Elephas maximus indicus: one gene and its partner. The protein of the gene in region 2 purifies or fractionates together with the protein of the main gene of each other region. This does not show direct contact. Links are inferred from orthologs where the notes say so. Each region holds a gene or a part of one and is shown on either strand. Other genes may lie near its edges.

Region 1 (7,188 bases), on a different chromosome or scaffold from region 2:
TCCAGTCCATGGAGTGAGAAAGCAGTGTACCTTCAGGCAGGAGGTTTGCTGGTGGAGTAGGGTGCTTCCAGGCACTTGATAGAGCTAAGTTTGCCCATCCACAGAGCTAGAGCTGAGCACCTTTGGGCTGAGGTTTACTGATGGAGTGGGATGCCTCTGGGCACTTAGCAGCAGAACTAAAAGAGCTTGGTAACACTTGCCCGAGCAGGAGCCAGAGAGAGGCCTGCCTGTGGGCACAGCTGAGAAGAGGTTGTCCTGATGGAAGAACTGTATTCTGAGAGTTCCTGAACCTGAATTGTAACCCGTAATAAACCTCATAATTGTGAGTATTGTCCTTGAGTTCTGTGTAGCCACTGTAATGAACTATCGAAACTAGCAGAGAAGTAGAGTGTTGTGGGAGGGACAGTTGGTGTCAGAATTGGTAAAGATGGCAGAAAGAGGAGGCAAGTCTGACCTCTGCCTCAGAAGAACCAGCCTTGGGCTGTTGATCTTGATTCTCCTTCACCCTTATGAAGTTAGAGGAGATCAGATGCCACCTCATGCCATCTTTACAACAATAAAATATTATTTTAAAAAGGAGAAAAATATATTTCATACTTATGCACATATTGACTATTTTCAGAGTTCTTCATTCCACTGTATAGACTCAAATTTCTACCTAGAATCATTTTCCTTCTACCTAAAGACATGTTTCTTTATGTTGTTTGGCCACTGTTCTATAGGATTTCTCTTATTATTATACTGATATTATAGTGAAATACATAGGAGAAAATGGACTATTTTAGACAAAACATTTACATGTAGACAATAAAATACCTTGTTCGCAATTTTTAATATAGATTACATGTTGAAATAATAATATTTTGATTGTGGGTTAAGTAAAATGTATTAACATTAAATTCACCCATTTCTTTTTTTTTAATGTGGCTAAGAGAAAATTGAAAATGACATTTCTATTAGAGTGCTGATCTAGATCATTCTAGACTATTCTTCTTAACTGCCACCAGTTGATTTTTTTTAATTGGTGAGGGAGGAAACCCTACATCTGAATAATAAGAATTAATGTTTGCTGAGTGAAGATACTTCTCTACATGCTTTACCTGTATAACCTCACTCAATCCTTCTATGAGGTTGAATCAGGAAACAATTGTCCAAAGCCGTCCAACTTCAGAAGCGGAGCTGGGATGGAAAGCCAGCAGGTTGGTTCTGAAGCCTGAACTCACAACCTCCACCTGACCAGACAAAGCCCTTTAAGAAGCTGCTTCGGAAAGTGATCCACATATAGCTTAACTCTGTGACGTTCATAACAACATATACTCCTTAGGTATCAATGAAGCAGCTGCCTTTTTCTGACTCTTCACAAGGCGGTTATAAACAGACACATGTTTGTTGCCGCAATTGAAGCTTTAATGAAACCAGCACAGGCAGTATTTTTGTGACATCCACTTGCATCCTTGTGAAGTCAGCTTTACTCTTTGCCCCTAATTATATTAACTATTTTTAGGACAAATTGTCAATGTGCCATACTTGTTCATGCTTAATACATTTTCAAATTGTTTTCTTTAGCCATATCTATTTATACTTGAAGTGTTTTTTTAAAAAAAGATTATTCCGGCAATGACAAAGATTCATGATGAAGTTATAAAACACACCAGGAGAGGAAGATGACATGCAGTCACCATGGGGATATTATTGATGAATAGCAGATTGCTTTTTGAATTCTGAATAAGAACTTAACTTTAACATTTTGAATCATAAAGTTTCAGAATTGGAAGGGACCTGAGGTCTCTTATGCACAGGCTTGGTGCCAGGAAAGTTGTGTGTGTGACCCCGGGACCAGGGTCTTAACCGTTGTAAGACTCAGTTTCCTCATCTATAAAATGGGAATGCAAACATCTACCTTCTAAAACTCCTTTGTGGATTAAATGAGATAATATTGTAATTCTGTTTCTTGTACCTTCTTTTATTCCATGGTAGCTATGGTTATTATTATTATTATTACCATTATTCCATCATTATTTCCCCCAGGTGACTCCAAATGTATACCCTCTCTTCCAGCACATCTGGTCTTATCCCAATAGTCCTTTCTCCTCTATTCTCCACAAGAACTCTTGAACTCTTCCCTTAGGTGAGGAGGTCCCTGCAGGCCTCTCCCCCTCCCTTTCCTCTCCAGCACCCCCAACAACACCCAGTTTCCACTCTGCAATCTTGCTGCCCAAGGATCTGCCTGCTCCCCATGCTTCCGAAATATCAGTTACTGCTCATCTGGCTGCCTGAAGGTGGACTCCTTACTGCCCATGATGGTAGACTGAGGAATGATGCCAAATGAAGGCTTTCCTAGCCCATGCCTTTCTTCTTCCACTGGCTGCCCAGCCTAGACATTTATTGTACAGTCCCCTGGTCGTACCTATTTGAGGAACATAACCACAAACCACCAGAAGTCTCCCTGATTCCTTGGGTCCCAGGGGGTCCTCATGCAAATGAGACCTACCTTCAGGGGTCAGCCACATATTTAAACTTAGAAAGCAGTCTAGGCTTCGGAGGTAAGGAAACTGGGACCTAGGGAGCTTAAGGAACTGGCCCAGAAGTATGAAGAGTGTCTTAGTTATCTAGTACTGCTATAAAAGAAATACCACAAGTGATGGCTTTAATAAATAGAAATTTAATTTCTCACAGTCTAGTAGGTTACAAGTCCAAATTCAGGGTGTCAGCTCCAGGGGAAGGCTTTCTCTCTGTTGGCTCTGGAGGAAGATCCTTATCCTCAATCTTCCCCTGGTTGAGGAGCATCTTAGGCACAGGGACCCTGTGTCCAAAGGACACACCCTGCTTCTGGTGCTGCTTTCTTGGTGGTATGAGGTCCCCAACTCTCTGCTTGCTTCCCTTTCCTTTACTCTCTTGAGAGAGAAAAGGTGATGCAGGCCACACCCCAGGGAAACTCTACCTTGGATCAGGGAGGTGACCTGAGTAAGGGTGGTGCTAAAAAATCCCACCCTAATCCTCTCAATATAAATTAATTACAATCACAAAATGGAGGACAACCACACAATACTGGGAATCATGGCCTAACCAAGTTGACACATATTTTTGGGGGGACACAATTCAATCCATGACAGAGAGTATTTGAAATTCTTCAATGTATTATTATTTGTGGCATGAATCCCCATCTAGGTCCTTGGGTGGTGCAAACAGATTTATGCTCAATTACTATCCTAAAGGTTGGCAGTTTGAACCCACCTAGCAGCCCTGCAGAAGGAAGGCCTGGTGATCTGCTTCCATAAAAACTACAGCCAAGAAACCCTGTGGAGCAGTTTCACACTGTAACATATGGGATCGCTGTGAGTTGGAATCTACTCCATGGCAACAGGTTTAGCTTTGTTATTTTTTTTTTGTTTTTTCGGGGGGAGGGGTGGTTAATCCCTTCTGAAGGAGCCCTGGTGGTAGAACGTTTAAGTGTTCAGCTGCTAAATTAAAGGTTGGTGGCTGGAACCCATCCAGACAATCTGCAGGAGAAAGACGGGGCTATCTGCTTCTGTAAAAGTGAAAGAAACAAAAAACAATTCTAAAGGTTACAGCCTAGGAAACCCTATGAGGCAGTTCTACTCTGTCCTGTAGGGTCGCTAAGAGTCTGAATCGACTCCACCACAGTGGGTTTGGTTTCTTTTTTTTTTTTTTTTTTTCAGTCTTCCCATAGTTCAACTTTTTTTTCTTCAGGAGACCTTCCAGAGGAATGGCGGATGGTGGGAGCCCTGGTGGCGCAGTGGTTAAGAGCTGTGGCTGCTAATCAAAGGTTGGCAGTTCGAATCCAGCAGCTGCTCCTTGAAAATCCCATATGGGGCTGTTCTACTCTGCCCTATAGGATCACTATGAGTTGGAATCAACTCAAGGGCAATGGGTTGAGTTTGGGCCACGCTGAGCCTTATTTATCGCAAGGTTTCCGTGTTGGTTGCGTTTGGGCTCTCTTCGTCAGATGAATAGGAATAAGAAAGACTGGGTTATTTTTTGAAATAAGTCTCCTATTTCCGAGTGTTTAATAATTTAGCCATGTTGACTCACAGCCAAGTTCAGGCCACCCAGGCCCGCCAACAGCCTGTTGCCCAGCAACAGTCGCCAAGCACTGCCCAGCCCCTTTGCCCGGCACCCATACGCCTGTGCGCATGCGTAGACCCTTCCTGCCGGCGCGCAGCGGTGACGTATGAAATCCGTGACGCTTTCGGCGTGTTGATCCCCCCAGGGTCCTGCTGATTGACTGACAGACCCCTGAACTTCATGGCCTCCGCTGGTGTGGCCCCCGGGCGTCAGGCGGAGGATGTGTTGCCGCCGCCGGCCGAGCCGCAGCTTCCAGAGACGAAGCCGCTGCCGCCTTCTCAGCCGCCAACGCCGGTCGCTGCGCCTCAGCCGCAGCAGTCGCCCGCGCCGAGGCCGCAGTCACCTGCGGGCGTGAAAGAGGAGGAGAATTACTCCTTTTTACCTCTGGTTCACAACATCATCAAATGGTAAGGCCCTAGAAGATGACCATCCACGACACTCCCCCCTGCTTCGCGTCACACCCCTGTCAGAGCTGGAAGAGGCTTAGAGGCTGCCCCCATTTTACATATGGGGCTTCGGAACCGGAGGGGAAAGAGGCTTTTCCCAGGACCTCGCAGAGCCTTTCCATGAGGTCAGCAAATGCCTTGATCCCTAAGAGTTACCAGGCCTCATGATGGCCAGCCGATATTAATAAGAATGAAGTCAGCTCAGAGACTAAATTCACAGACTCTGGAGTAAAAAAAAAAAGTTTGCATCGCAGCCATCTTGAGCAAGTTCAGCCTCTCTGACCCTCAGTTTTCTCATCTGTTATATGGGGGTAATTCTCACTTTGGCTCCTTTTTTCTATTCAGCCAACAGGTTTTGGCCCTCCTTCCTGTATGACACACGGCTAAGTGCTGTGGAGTGTGCCAGTTAGAAGGAATGGGAAAGACACATAATTTAAGATGATAAGGAAGGGCTGATGATTAAAAGAAACAAGTTCCCCACCAGATTAGATCCTGTGGCACTAATTTCCTTCTAACATAGTACCATAGGGGGTGGTTGTCATCCTTTTGGCCAGGATTCAAGTTAGCTAGAGTTTTCAAACTGACCCCTGTAAAAGAAAAAAAAACCAAAGGTCTCCCTGATCCCCATTTTTACCTAAGTTATTTTTATTCTTGTTACTTGAATATCTATCCACAGGATACTAGGTGGAAACCCCTTATGCTTATAATTTATTTAGCCATTAAACCAATACAAATGCACAAAGTAGGTTAAAACGAAATTACTATTCTAGCACAATTCAAATGCACATTAGTACGCTGTTTGATGTTTTGCTGAAATGGAATTGCTACATGAGGATAAAAGAAACAAACAAATAAAAAAAACCAAACCCATTGCTTTGGAGTTGATTCCAACTCATAGCAACCCTATAGGGCAGAGTAGAATTGCTCCATAGGGTTTTCAGGGAGTGGCTGGTGGATTCAAACCGCTGACCTTTTGGCTTGCAGCTGAGCCCTTAACCTCTGCACAACCAGGGCTCCCACATGAACATACGGACCATTAATGGCCCAGATTCTTTTGAGTAGCCAGCCTAAATTCACTTGCTGTGGGATACATGATGTTTCCACCATTTTTCTCTTCAAACTATTGCAAAACCTTTGTTCTCACATTAGACCCTGACTTCGTCTGGCTTCGCGTTGCATAAACAAAAGTGAAGCAGACTCTGTTCTTGGCAACAGTGAGTTTGCAAAGACAAATGCAAGTGCACACCCCACACTCCTGGGGCAGTACTGGATTATGAAGGGGTTGGCCAGGTTAACCCAGATATACTTACGCTAGTTTTTAAAAAATCTGGGAAAATGAAAACCCAAAATATACACATTCGCAGAGACGGTTCTTAGACCTCTGAGAGTATGTTCCTGAGCCCTGATAGAGCAGTGGGGTTCTGCTGGCTTTAAGGATGGGGCAGTAAATTATACTAGAGAGAACATAGGCTTTGAAGTCAGGCGGTGCCGGATTCAGGTGTGTTAGGCCTTAATTCTCTCATCTCAATATGTGGATAATAATAATGGACCTCAAACTAGGGGTTCAGATTATAGCTCTATAATATGCTAGCTGGATGACCTTGCACCAGTAACTTAACTTCTCTGAGCCTCTTTTTCTCCTGTGAAATTGCTGAATTGTTGTGCAGTATACTCAAGTGTACTTTCCCCCCTGGGAAAGACGGCGGGTTAATCTCATGCATTCATCTCTGTTTCCTCTAAAAGGACAGTGAAGGGGTTTTTCTTTCTTTCTTTTTTTTTTAATGTATAAAACTAAAAAGAACAGGAGAGGAGATGATTGCCACAGGGCAGGCGGTCAAGGGCTGACTCACCTACCAGCCCTGAGAGCAGTCCACCTTTGACCGTGCTGTTGTTTTTAGGTGCTGTCAAGTCAGTTCCGACTCATAGTTACCCTGTGCACAACAGAACAAAACATTACCTGGTCCAGCACCATCCTCACAATCCTTCGTATGCTTGAGCCCATCATTGCAGCCACTGTGTCAATCCATCTCGTTGAGGTTCTTCCTCTTTTTCAGTGACGCTCAGCATTACCAAGCATGATGTCCTTCTCCAAGGAGTGGTCCCTCCTGATAACATGTCCAAAGTACGCGAGATGAAGTCTCAACCATCCTCGCTTCTGAGGAGCACTCTGGCTATACTTCTTCCAAGACAGATTTTTTCATTCTTCTGGAAGTCCATGGTATATTCAGTATTCCTCACCAACACCATGATTCAGAGGAATCAATTCTTCCTCAGTCTACCTTAGTCATTGTCCAGCTTTTACATGCATATGAGGCAATTGAAAATACCATGGCTTGGCTCAGGTGCACCCAGTCCTTAAAGTGATATCTTTGCTTTTCAACACCTAAAAGAGGTTTTTTGCAGCAGATTTGTCCAGTGCAATATGTCATTTGATTTCTTGACTGCTGCTTCCGTGGGCATTGACTGTAGATCCGAGTAAGATGAAACCCTTGATCTTTCACCGTGGCCTCTCCCGAGATTCCAGGAATCAGCAGTATCAGGAACCTCTGGAAATAAGGGTGAAAGTGGGACTAATAACAGGAGGATCACTTAAAAGTCTCTTTAAGAAACGGATCCCCACAGTCCTCTGACAGGGAACTCAAAGCAACAGGTGACT
Region 2 (7,858 bases):
CAGCATAATTAACAAAGCCTAAATTAAAGTCATATTTCAAGGAAAATAATCCTAAAGTTTTGTAAGCCATAGTATTAAACTATAGAGATTTTTCTAATATTTTGTTACTTGTTTCAGTGTTTCTAAAGACCCAAATAATTTTTGAGTTATGTACTATACTACATATACCAGGATAATTTCTCTTTAACCTATCATGTGAGTTCTCTCTTGCTCCCTAAAACAGCATTACACATCTTCCTATGTTAACCAAAATAAAAATGGAAACATCTAAATTGTAATTTACCACGATCAGAGTGCAAAATTTTTTACTGTACAAATCTGCATCACAGTTTAGAACAATCACTACAAACTTTTCGTTCTTTCAAATCACTGGTATCAACGCACATAAATTAATCCCACTAACAACCCACAAGAGATGTGTTTTGCTGTAAAGCTTCGAATCTCACTAGACTCTTGGTCCAAGAAAAAAAACCTTTATTATGGTTTTTCTTACATGTTATATAGTGATTTAAGTAAATGCTTTCATGGGCCAAAAGTTCACCAAAAAAAAAGGCATATTATGCTGAAGGTACACAAACCAATCTGATGTGATGAAACCATCTTCCTCTACTAACGCAGCTTTATTACTTCTAATCAAATAAATTTCACTCAAGAAGGATATGTATTTGAATCAACAACTTTATTAGAGGGGGGAAATATTCAAAAAGAATGGAAATAGGAATTATATTATCTGCTGTTTGTTGTTGTTGTAAGCCCATGCTACTCAAATACAATTCAGAAGAAAATTCTTAACTTTTCTCAGAAATTGTCTGCTAAAAGGAAGTTATTTTAATCAAAAAAAATTTTTTTAATACATTTAAAAATTCTAGGTCAAGTGTACTACAAAGTTACCACGAGGAGTGTGAAAAGAGCCACTTTTATTTTGTAATGCCAATGTCTAAACAGGAAAACTTGATGTGCCTTCCCCAAATATATTTGATAACACTCCCACAGGAACACCAGTATTACAAGTAAAGTACATATTTCAAAAACAAAAGTTAATTATAGTACCTCACATCCCATGATACTCATTCAAGAACACCTGGCAATTATAAGAATTATGACAAAAGTTCACAAACAACTGAGTACTATCCGGCCTGTTTAGCCATAAGAAAGAAAAAATAATAACAATAATAATAATCCTGAAATTTGTAATTTTCAACATATTTTCACAGAAAATATTTCTGAAATTTTTTGTACAGAGAATCATAATTCTTGACACCCAACTCTAGATTGGGGGGAAAAAACTAGGGGCAAATGTCTCCAAAACTTTACAGTAATTGTGTTTTGTTTTTCCCTTTATGAAACTAGTGGGCAAGCGCGCGCGCGCACACACACACGCACACATTCACACACACAACCTACCTACTTTGGTCCTAGAGTTCAGAAACCTACCATATCAAATTGCAACAGCGTGCACAGAAAGTGGCCCTTCAAATCTTACTAATGTCAGTGTGGCTGATACTCAGTTTATTCGGAAATGTTCAATACGACCCTAAAGCTCTGTTCTTTACACGTTGACAGTCTTTATGCAGTTTAAGCATGGCAGGCAGATCTTTCTGGACGCCCTAACCCTGGGGGAGGGGAATTCCTACAACGATGGGACATGCGGTAATAACTGGCCACCCATCACAGAGAGCTGGTTCCACCTGTCCTGCAGTTCGAGCTCAACTACTCGTAATATCGTCCAGTTCGACTTCTAATGAGGTAGGAGATTCCCGAAGATGTCCTACGGTTCTCCCTCAACTCCCAGGAAAACAAAGGTTCAGGCCCAGCTCTGTGTCACTCTGTACTCCGTTTTTGATAATCTAGATGCCCAGTAAACCCCAGCACGTAGTCACTTGGCAGAGAACGAAGTGATGGACAGAAGAATACCTAAGGTGAGGGAAAAAGAGGTGCCAGAGAACCTGGCAGAACTCTGAAGTTCTCGCGGGCAAAACGCGGTTACTCTCTCAGGATGTCGTCCCACATTCGAGCGGAACTCAGAGTGAGGGTGTGAAATCGGGGCGCGGGGCGGGGCGGAGACGGGTGAGGAGGGGTCCAAAACACGACAGGGACGCGAGGGACCGAGCTGAAGGGCCAGTTCCGGCTAGCAGGTCCCAGGGGCGGAGGTCGTAGCTGGGACTGCCGTGCACACTGGGTCAGACCCGGGAGACTGCCGGGGACCAAGGCGCTAAGCCGCGCGACTGGCTCCGCGGCGAGGTTTCAAACCGCCGCCCCCGGGAGGGACTCAGCGGATTGGAAGTTCAACAACCGCCGTCACCAGCCCAGGGCCGGAGCGGCAACTCCTCCGCGTCTTCCCAAGAGACCAGACCCCACCAACTCCACCTCTAGCCGAGGTCCAAACTCGTGTCGCCGCCTGCTCCATGTACGCGGAGAGCGCCCTTCGGCATGGGACCGACGGCCCCCGACCGGGCTGCGCCGCGGGAGCTCGAGGGGCGCGACGGAGCCGCAGGGGCAGGGGGGCGTCTCTCAGAGTCAAACCCGGGACATGGCCCCTCTACCACCTCCGCCGCGCCCCTTGGAAACGGTCCGATAGGGCTCCGACCCACCCATCCCGCCCGTTCGCGGACAGGGCGAGGACCCGAGCGACCCTACTCCCCCCGCCCCTGCTCTTACCCATCTTTTCGCCTCGCCTTGTAGACGTGCCCGTAGGTGCCGCGTCCCACTTTGCACCCTTCGTACTCAAACAAATCCTCCACCCGCTCCCGCTCCGCCGCCAGCTTCGCCTTGAAATCATAATCCATTGTCTGCTTCCCCCATAGAGGCACCGGGACGTGGGGGCCGCCGCCGCTCAGTCCCTCCTCCTCCTCCCCCCGCGGCCGCCGCTCCACTTCTCTACAACAGCCGCCTCTCGGGCGCGCGCGCGCCGCCAGCCGCTCCGCGATCCGCTTTCAGCAAGGGACTCCTCGGCGGCCGCGGCAACCACCACCTCCACCTCCTCCTCCTCTGCGGCGGCAGCGGCGACGGCTCCCGCAGGCACCCTCAGTCCCGCCTCCCCCCTTCATTTCCTTGTTTTGGAACCTGGTGGGCCGCGCCGCGGCTTCCTACAGCTCATTAACGAACCAGCCCGTCCGCCCCAAGGTCGCGGAGGCTCCTGGGAAATGTAGTCCTGAAGGCCTCAGGATTGGCTAAAGGATTGCCACCGTAAGAACTGTAACTCCCACGTTGCCTTGGGCCCAGAGCCGCGCCTCCGCAAGGCATGCACGCCGGCGCACTGGGGCCGCCCCTCCCCCTCAGGTAGCGCTGGACTCCCAGTGAAGGTAAAAAGCGCCAAGTTGCAGTGTGCTTTCTGCAAGCCTGTGGGAGCTAGTGGAAAAAGGCCCTTGTTCTAGTAGGAAGGAGGAATTCCAGTCTGATTTTCCAGGCGAGAAGGAATATGGAAAGTACTTAACAAGTGCTTTGCCCAGAAGTTTACTCCAGGGGTTTGCGAGGCGAGGACTGTTGTAATAGAACAGTTCTACTGCAGATTGTTGTTTATTTTCCTTGGCAATTTGTCCTCCAGTTGCCCCCCCCCCCCTCATCTGGCCCTCATTGGCGGAGTTTAGAGAATGACGTCCTAGTTGGTGCGTGGGTATCCCCAGTCTTTGGCTTCCTTCCCGCTTTTGATTGGTTGTGCTCAGTTCTTCCTGATAGGTTAATCTTTTTTCTTTACGATGCAAATACATTATTTCAAACGCTGAACCGTCAGCAGTTTCTTAGTTCTTGCATTGGTTGAAGAGAACCTATAACTTCTCAGCCCCATCCTTTTCGTGGTGCTGTAGTAGGTCTTCCGCCCTAACTTTGGTAGCCAAGCTTTGACCATCTAAGAACAATCGGAATGCCTAGAAGATCCAGCGTTTTAAAAACAATCGTTTTGGTTGGATTGAAAAGGGCTTTATATATATATGGTCTATGCATATTATGAACATTGATTCATTTCATTATTGTGTTCGTAAAGTCTCAGATACTCGAAATACAAACTTAAATGTGATTGATGCTAGGATAGGATTTATGTACTACATTCGGTGGGAGCACGAAGGAGGGAATGATCGATTTTGCCTGAAGTAGGGAAAGTTATAGTGACTTCTGCTTGCTAGGTATTGGAAGAAGCCTGGAAAACTGAAAGGGGGGCGGGAGGAGAGAATTGCTTGTTTACTCCAACAATCCCGCCTGGGAAGCTTCCTCAGATCTTGAAGGCATGTTCAATAAAGTAACTGAGTTTCTCTTATTGCAAACCACTATGATAACTGCTGGAGATACTAGGTGAAAAACTTGTGTTTTTTTCCTTCGGGGTACTAAAACCTATTGTAGCAATAAACATGTAAGCAAATTAACAGTAAACTGTGTAGGTACAAAGACCAATGGTAGAATATGAGGAGCTCATAACTCTAGAGGTAGGCTTTCCGAAAGTGGGCTGGAGCCAAAATTTAAAGGATAAGTAGGACTTTGCCTAGAAGACAGGTGGGGCAGTAGGGAGCAAGGAGTTATTTCAGGCAGATAGAACAGCATGTACATATATCAAGAGAGGTTGATATACTCTGAGAAATGCAAGTAGTTTGAATATTATACATCAAGGCAGGGAAAGGAGATGGGTAAGAAGGAGCTGGACAGATAACTATGAGTCAGGATGGACTAGATGGCAACAGGTTTGGTTTGCCTTTTGGACGGATAAGCAGAGATCAAATTATGAAGCTAGGTATGTCAAGAAGTATTAGATTTCATCATATTGTAGACAGTAGGGAGTCACCGAAGACATTTGAGATAGAGTGATTTAATTGGTCTGATGTATTCAAAAGATCCTTCTGAAGTCTTTTTTAATTAAACCAAATGGTAATTTTGCTTAATTAGTAAAGAATGTCTGCTTTGAGCATAGTACTCTTTTTTAAAAAAACTATAGGAGATCAAACTGACAACAAGTGGAAAGGTTAGACAGAAAGTGTCGTGGTTAAGGTTGTGTGTCAGCTTGGCTGAGCCATGAGCCTCAGCGATTTGCTACTCATATGGTGGTGTGATCACTTCCATGATGAGATTTGGTATGATGTGATCACCTCCATGATGGAACCTGCTGTGAGTAGCCAATCAGTTGAAAGGCAATTTCCTTGGGCATGTGGCCTGCATGGAATATAAGTGGCAAGGCTTGTGGGCTTTTGCTTGCTCTGGATCTTGCAGCTCGCTCCTGTCCATCTGGGCTTCGGCTCTTGGGACTTGAACTAGCAGCTTACCTGTGGTCTTGCCTGCTGATCTTTGGGATTCATCCATCTTCACAGGCTGTGAACAGGAGCCCTGCTCTCTTATCTACCGGTCTAGGGATTGCCAGCCCCTGTGGCTATGTGCATCCAGAGAAACCTGACCCATGGACTTGGGACATTCCAGCCCCAACAACTGAGTGAGCCATTTCCTTGATATAAATCTATCTATCTATCTATCATCTATCTATCTATCTATCTATCTATCTATCTATCTATCTATCTATCTATCTATCTATCTATCTATCTATCATCTATCTATTTCTACACTTTACTAATTTTGCTTCTCTAGAGAACTCAGCTAAGACAGGAAGCTTAGGGAGCAGTGAGTTTATGTTAATAGTGAAGAACAATTTGGAAAAGGAGGGTGAGAATGGCTGCACAACTTGGAGAATGTAATCAATGTCACTGAATTGTACATGTAGAAATTGTTGAATCAGTGTATGTATTTTGAATTGTATGTAATGTTGAATTGCTATATATATTTTCAACAAAAAATAAACTATTAAAAAAAAATCCAAAACAAATTGTTCATCACTGGAGATAGCTAGCATACTAACAACATACTGTGAAAACTGGTCATTAAAAAGAATTAAATGTTAAAAAAAAAAAAAGATTTTTCTGACAACAGCTCTCAGGATAGATTGAAGGGAGTTGAGACTAATAAAGAAATTATCACATTGTTGTTGTTGGGTGCCATCAAGTAGATTCCAACTCATAGTGCTATCCCATGTGACAGAGTAAAGCTTTCGCATAGGATTTTCTTGCCTGTAATCTTACAGAAGCAGTTTGCCAGACCTTGAGCCATTTATCAAGATCAAATAATTCCAGTGAAGCATGCATCATCTTTGTCTTTACTTTGTAGATGTTAAAATTACAACTTCTGCTTTTTTTTCCTTTCATATTTGGTTGATATTGCTCATTATTTCCCCCTTCTTAATGCCATACATGACTCACAGAGCTTACAAAATAGAGAATCTGCAGTTGCCATCTCCATTGAAAAATTCATTGCCTCAATAAGTATAAGAAGTCTTCCTTGCCTTTGGAGTCCCTGGGTGGTGCAAATAGTTAACACGCTAGGCTACTAACTGAAAGGTTGGAGGTTCAAGTCCACCCAAAGGCATCTCAGAAAAAAAGGCCTGACAGTCTACTTCCAAAAACTCAGCCATTGAAAACCCCATGGAGCACAGTTCTACTCTGGCACACATGAGGTCACCATGACTTGGAGTTGACTCAAGGGCAACTGGTTTTTTTTCTTGCCCTTGCTCTTTCCATCAACCACAACATTTACCTGGCCAATTAGATTTCACAGCATTAGCTGCCATGCAAATATCTGTTACTGTTCTGGGGGAGATCTCTCCACTATTTAAGTAAACATTGATTAAAAGTCTGAAAACAGCCCTCAGTCCAGTAATTCGGTCCCTCAGGGAGTTTGAAAGAGTCTGTGGAGCTTCCATGACCTTGCCTTGTACATGTTGTACTGACTTCCCCAGTACTGTGTACTGTCTTACCCTTCACCAGAGTTACCACTTATCTATTGTCTGTTTGGTGATGGGTAAGACAGTACACAATACTGGGGAAGCCAGCTTAACTTGTCCAAAGCAAGGTCATGGAAGCACCATAGACACATTCAAACTCCCTGAGGGACTGAATTAACTGAGCTGAGGGCTCTGGGAACCATGGTCTCAGGGGAATATCTAGCTCAATTGGCATAACAAAGTTTACAGAGAAAATGTTCTACATTCTACTTTGATGAACAGCATCTGAGGTCTTAGAAGCCTGTAAGCGGCCATCTAAGATACTCCACTGGTCTCACCCCTTCAGGAGCAAGGGCGAATGAAGAAAACTAAAGATACAAGGGAAAGATTAGTCTAAAGGACAAGGGGACCACAACTACCATGGCCTGCACCAGAGTGAGTCCAGTACAACTAGATGGTGCCTGGCTACCACTACTGACTATTCTGACAGGACTCACAATAGAGGGTCTCAGACAGAGCTGGAGAAAAATGTAGAACAAAATTCTAACTCAACGAAAAAAGACCAGACTTACTGGCCTGACAGAGACTGGAGAAACCCCAAAAGTGTGGTCCCTGGACACCCTCTTAGCTCAGTAATGAAGTCACTTCGGAGGCTCACCCTTCAGCCAAAGATTAGACAGGCCCATAAAACAAAACAAAACTAAAGGGGCACACCAGCCCTGGGACAGGGACTAGAAGGCAGGAGGGAACAGGAAAGCTGGTAACACGGAACCAAAGGTAGGGAGGGGAAAGTGTTGACATGTCATGGAATTGTTAACCAATGTCATGAAACAGTATGTGTACTAACTGTTTAATGAGAAGCTAGTTTGTTCTGTAAAACTTCTTCTAAACTTCTCTAAAAGTCTGAGAACAAAGCTTTTAATAAAACCAAAAAACCAAACCTGTTGCCATCAAGTCGAATCCAACTCACAGTGACCCAATAGGACAGAGTACAACTGCCCCACAGAGTTTCCAAGGAGTACCTGGTAGATTCAAACTGCCAGCCTTTTGGTTAGCAGATGTAGCTTTTAACCACTATGCCACCAGGGTTCCCCCTTTTAATAAGGATGGTCT

What was found. Proteins that work in one complex are often made in the same cells at the same time.
Region 1: the proteins of CDK19 (region 2) and MED9 purify together in Homo sapiens (affinity purification with mass spectrometry; 7 studies listed by BioGRID and IntAct, counting the BioPlex papers as one, with this or other methods). This does not show direct contact. The link is inferred for Elephas maximus indicus from reciprocal best matches to the Homo sapiens genes CDK19 and MED9.

Annotation. Positions count from the first base shown.
Region 1 is NC_064820.1:214,931,029-214,938,216, reverse strand, and holds the start of MED9 (mediator of RNA polymerase II transcription subunit 9), read left to right. Parts: upstream 1-4,184; 5' UTR 4,185-4,266; coding exon 4,267-4,493; intron 4,494-4,503; exon of another isoform or gene 4,504-4,508; coding exon of another isoform or gene 4,509-4,657; intron 4,658-7,188.
Region 2 is NC_064819.1:176,759,035-176,766,892, forward strand, and holds the start of CDK19 (cyclin-dependent kinase 19), read right to left. Parts: upstream 3,095-7,858; 5' UTR 2,787-3,094; coding exon 2,659-2,786; intron 1-2,658.